Arabidopsis thaliana: one gene and its partner. The protein of the gene in region 1 purifies or fractionates together with the protein of each later gene. This does not show direct contact. Each region holds a gene or a part of one and is shown on either strand. Other genes may lie near its edges.

Region 1 (2,768 bases):
ATTTAGTGAAGTCTATAAGGTCAGAACATTGATAGATACTACATTCTTTTACATGTGAGAATTATTTTGCAGTAATATGATGTTATGGATTTTAAGCAGGCATATGATTTGGTGGACCATAGATATGTTGCGTGCAAGCTTCATGGTTTAAATGCTCAGTGGAGTGAAGAAAAGAAGCAAAGTTACATCCGCCATGCCAACAGGGAATGTGAGATCCATAAAAGTCTTGTGCATCACCACATTGTTCGGCTTTGGGATAAATTTCATATCGACATGCATACATTCTGCACCGTTCTGGAATATTGTAGTGGTAAATCAGAATTCTCCTATTCCTTTGTAGATCCTGGAGTACAGTTCTGAGTTCTCACTCTTATGTTTTGAATTTCTAATGCAGGGAAAGACCTTGATGCTGTATTAAAGGCAACATCTAATCTTCCTGAGAAAGAAGCAAGGATTATCATTGTGCAAATAGTTCAAGGCCTTGTATATCTGAACAAAAAGTCACAGAAGATAATCCACTATGATCTGAAGCCTGGTAATGTTCTCTTTGATGAGTTTGGAGTAGCAAAAGTAACTGATTTTGGTCTAAGCAAGATAGTGGAGGACAATGTTGGTTCTCAAGGAATGGAGCTTACATCACAGGGAGCTGGAACATACTGGTGAGCAATCTAGTTTTTGTCTCCTTGATATGGTCTATATTATTTTTGTCTCTTCTACTTCCGGACATCTTATAGCTAACAAGGTTCTATAATATAGGTACTTGCCCCCAGAATGCTTTGAGCTTAACAAAACTCCTATGATCTCATCAAAGGTCAGTGATTGGTCAATGATGTCATAATCTGATTATCTTATAGAAGTTTTGTGGTACTAAATTGTGTTGAAACTCAGGTTGATGTATGGTCAGTTGGTGTTCTGTTTTACCAAATGCTGTTTGGAAAGCGACCTTTTGGACATGACCAAAGCCAAGAACGGATACTAAGAGAAGACACAATCATTAAAGCCAAAAAGGTTGAGTTCCCAGTAACAAGACCTGCCATCTCAAATGAAGCGAAGGTAAATTAACTGTACCGGTCTTAAACATGGTTTAAGTAAAGTAGTACCAAATAGTCATGAAACTGTCTCTCCATGTTCTCACTTTTGCATTTTCTGCAGGATTTGATTCGACGGTGTCTAACATATAACCAAGAAGATAGGCCGGATGTTCTAACAATGGCACAGGATCCATATCTTGCCTACTCTAAGAAGTGAGATTGTGTAGTCTTCAAAAACAAACCAGAGATGCTAAAAGACCAGATCCTAGAATATTTTTTGGTATAGCTTATAAAGTTTCTGTTTTGTTTGTCTAAATATTTTATCTCCCGGCCCCTTGAACCATATTAATTTCGGGTGAAGTTAATGTGTCTTGTCTTCCTTTTATTATGTAACATGTTATGTATATTCTTCATGTTTTATAATAGAAGAAAGCTGAAAGTTGGAAACAGGCCCCAAATCGTTCTTGCTTCTCAGGTTTAAGACAATATGAAATGTGATCAATTGAAGAAATAAGAAATATAACAAATCCGGCTGGAGAATACTGGACTGGAACTGAACTAAACCGAAGAGTAAACCAAGACAAAACCGAAGATTGAAAATCATTGGCTTGCTAGTAAACTACTACGAGACAAAAGTCTACTTATCCCCCCACTCATACCACTAAAAAACTCACACTTGCTGGCTTCTTCTTCCATGGCTTTATCTTTTGTTTCTTCAACTAGATTCTCCAAGATGCAATATGGCATATGGCACAGTGGATCCTTCACGCAACGAGTCAGTGTGAGATGCTGTGAAATCGCAAACGAGGCTCCACGACCAAAATCGAAGCTCCAAGTAGGATCACCGATCATCATCGTCGAAGCTCCCAAAGTTATAAAAACGGCCGCTTCAATGCCTTGCCTTAGGGCCAACTCTGGCTTGGTCAAGCCTGGCGATGTTGGAAGGTCTTCTTCTTCTTCTTCTATTTTATACAGATTTTAAGACAAAACTCAGACTAATCATCTAAACAGTGTTTTCTTGCCAATTAAATTAGCTTAATTTTACTTCTCTTCTTTCTTATCCTATTGTTTTTGCAGAATCGTGTCGAGAAAACCAAAGGACTTGTGGGCAGTTAGACTCTCCATTGGAACATATCTTTTAGATGGTAAATATTTCAAAGCTTTAGAGCTTGACGAAGGAGATAGTGATTGAGAATTTGAGATCATGTCTCTAAAATTGTATAAGCAACAGAAAAATACGAATTATTATTTTAACATTTTGCCATTTTAAGTTTTGGCGCAACAATCTTATTAATGAACCGAAATTACCGAATCGAAAACCGTTAATTTGGTTTAGTGATCAACCCGAATCCAAACGGGTACAACGGGTCGTAATGCGGGTCACCAACGTTCATCGGCAACTGATCCACTGTCTTAAACCACGTCCGAGCCAATTTCCCGGTGAATCCATAATCTCCGAACAAAACATCAGCCACTCCTTGACCTTCCGTTCCCGGAAGCCACGCCGCCACTAGAGCATCGATGTTCGAAATCTGCATCACCACCGGACGTCCCGATACAACCACCACCACACATTTCACCGATGCGCACACGTTCCCGATCGTGCTCGGACCTGGTTCCGATATGGTTAAGTTCGTACTGTCTCCGAATCCCTCCGCGTACGGTTTCTCTCCGACGGCCACGATTGCGTAATCGAAGTCACCGGCCTTGACGAAATTGGTGTCGGGGTTTTGATTG
Region 2 (2,811 bases), on another chromosome or scaffold:
CTGCGAGCTGCTGCCCAATCGATTAGTTATGAAATACCATTAACTCTATGTGTTTTATCAATATCTCTACGTGCGATTCGTTGAAACAGAAACGTTTATTTTTACTATTCCGTTTCTTCTAGACGAATCAGTTAAAAAACGGAATATATATTTATCTTTCGAATTAATCGAAATAATTAATAAAAGGAATTTGATAGTTATATATGAGTGAAAAAAAAACTGCTCTGAAATTTGCAGTAAAACGAAAAATGAGTCTCATTTCCTATGTACAAAGGTTAAACGGAAATAAACATAAGTGTAAGAATCACTTTACCCCAAGGTTGGTTGATTAGTCATCCTGACTTGAAGCGGGTTAAATATATTAACCGGTAACCGGATGACGTTTTCACTATCAGTTATATAGATTAACATACATGTATTACAAAGTGAGCGGCAATTAGGTAAAAGTGAGTGGATGGTTAGAAACACCAAAATACACAAAGAATTTGTAATAGAGATTAACCAAATTGAAAAGGATATTTAGGCCTAACATAAGATAAAAAAAAGAAGGTTAATTGGGGCTTTAAATTAGTAGAAATGATCAGACAGTACTCCCCAAGATTCCGATTCAGAGTATGCTCCTATCCACCGACAAATGTAATGACTATCAGAAACGAAATAATCCTTTATTTTTTATAAGTCTACCAACTTTTTTCTAAAAAAGAAAGAAGAATAGGAACGAAACAAGGCTCTTTTTTTTTTCATATATTTCGAAAATAAAATCGAATTTCTGTCATGAATAATAAAAAAATAGGATGTCTAATTATTTTTCGTAATCGAAAACCACGATGGGCTTAAATACTTTTTTTTTTTAGGAGTTTTTTATTAAAGGGTTAAGTTATTACTCAACAAATAGAAATTCAAATTTGTAAAGGGGTGAGATGAATTCCGAAGCGCGTTTTTTATTCTTAGAATTTGAGCAGACAGAATTCCATTGGTATAATTCGGGACCCCAGATATATTTAATCCATTTTAGAACACATCATATCCATCTAAATTATAATCTGGTCCTTAGATTTATTTATGGCCCCCGAGGAGCCGTATGAGGCCAAGACCTCATGTACGGTTCTGAAATAGCGGTGAAAATAGTAATGTTCTCGCCGACTAGGATTATCTAACAGTTTAAGTACAGTTGATATAGTTGAGGCACAATCAAAATATGGTTTTTGGGGATGGAATTTGTGGCGTCAACCTATAGGTTTTATCATTTTTCTAATTTCTTCCCTAGCAGAATGCGAGAGGTTACCGTTTGATTTACCAGAAGCGGAAGAAGAATTAATAGCAGGTTATCAAACTGAATATTCAGGTATAAAATTTGGTTTATTTTACGTTGCTTCTTATCTAAATCTATTAATTTCCTCATTATTTGTAACAGTTCTATACTTAGGCGGTTGGAATATTTCTATTCCGTATATATCTATTCTGGAGCTATTTCAAAGGGATCAAATTTTTGGAACAACAATTGGTATCTTTATTACATTAGCTAAAACTTATTTGTTTTTGTTCGTTTCTATCGCAACAAGATGGACTTTACCTAGGCTAAGAATGGATCAACTATTAAATCTTGGATGGAAATTTCTTTTACCTATTTCCCTTGGTAATCTATTATTAACCACTTCTTTCCAACTCTTTTCACTCTAAATTTAAAATGAATCTAATATATTCATTATTTGTTTTAAACAAGAGACAGAAACAAAGATAAAATTATTCAGAGATAATTACAATATGCTTCCTATGATAACCGGGTTCATGAATTATGGTCAACAAACCCTACGAGCTGCAAGGTATATTGGTCAAGGTTTCATGATTACCTTATCCCACACAAATCGTTTACCTGTAACTATTCAATATCCCTATGAAAAATTAATAACATCGGAACGTTTCCGCGGTCGAATCCATTTTGAATTTGATAAATGCATTGCTTGTGAAGTATGTGTTCGAGTATGTCCTATAGATTTGCCTGTTGTTGATTGGAAATTGGAAACTAATATTCGAAAAAAACGATTGCTTAATTACAGTATTGATTTTGGAATTTGTATATTTTGTGGTAATTGTGTTGAGTATTGTCCAACAAATTGTTTGTCAATGACTGAAGAATATGAATTTTCCACTTATGATCGTCACGAATTGAATTATAATCAAATAGCTTTGGGTCGTTTACCAATGTCAGTAATTGACGATTACACTATTCGAACAATTTGGAATTCACCTCAAACAAAAAATGGGGTAAACCCTTTAATTTGATTAAAAAAAGAATTCCAAGTTGTTGAATTATATTTATATAAAGAATTTAATTAAAAACTTGTATTGTATTTATATAATAATAATAATATTAAGTATTAAGGCACATTCTTTTAATATAATATATTCGTAATTACTTTCTTGAAATTGATAGGTTGAAAATACACTTTAGAAAAAAAAAAAGAGAAAACAGCCTAATACTAATAATTGTATCTACATCAATTCATATCCATTAGATTCTAATTTCACTCTATTTAGAAACATATAAAAAACAAATTTCCTGGTTAAATTAATAAGGTCATGAAAAGGATTTCGATTTTTTCTTATTTTAATAATATAATGGATTTGCCTGGACCAATACATGATTTTCTTTTAGTTTTTCTGGGATCCGGTCTTCTAGTAGGGGGTCTGGGAGTGGTATTACTTCCCAACCCAATATTTTCAGCCTTTTCCTTAGGATTTGTTCTTGTTTGTATATCTTTATTGTATATTCTATCAAATTCCCATTTTGTAGCTGCTGCACAACTCCTT

Evidence for each region. Proteins that work in one complex are often made in the same cells at the same time.
Region 2: the proteins of CRR42 (region 1) and ndhI purify together in Arabidopsis thaliana (affinity purification with mass spectrometry, with the first as the bait; one study listed by BioGRID). This does not show direct contact.

The regions. Positions count from the first base shown.
Region 1 is NC_003076.8:7,101,723-7,104,490, forward strand, and holds CRR42 (DUF3148 family protein), read left to right. Parts: upstream 1-1,661; 5' UTR 1,662-1,725; coding exon 1,726-1,976; coding exon of another isoform or gene 1,977-2,013; intron 2,014-2,108; coding exon 2,109-2,223; downstream 2,224-2,768. Other genes in the region: TSL (Protein kinase superfamily protein), read left to right, coding at 1-19, 100-310, 395-659, 757-811, 889-1,053, 1,153-1,248; AT5G20940 (Glycosyl hydrolase family protein), read right to left, coding at 2,354-2,768. UniProt on the Arabidopsis thaliana protein: Required for both formation and activity of the chloroplast NAD(P)H dehydrogenase (NDH) complex of the photosynthetic electron transport chain.
Region 2 is NC_000932.1:118,716-121,526, reverse strand, and holds ndhI (NADH dehydrogenase subunit I), read left to right. Parts: upstream 1-1,764; coding exon 1,765-2,283; downstream 2,284-2,811. Other genes in the region: ndhA (NADH dehydrogenase subunit 1), read left to right, coding at 1-70, 1,151-1,680; ndhG (NADH dehydrogenase subunit 6), read left to right, coding at 2,620-2,811. UniProt on the Arabidopsis thaliana protein: NDH shuttles electrons from NAD(P)H:plastoquinone, via FMN and iron-sulfur (Fe-S) centers, to quinones in the photosynthetic chain and possibly in a chloroplast respiratory chain.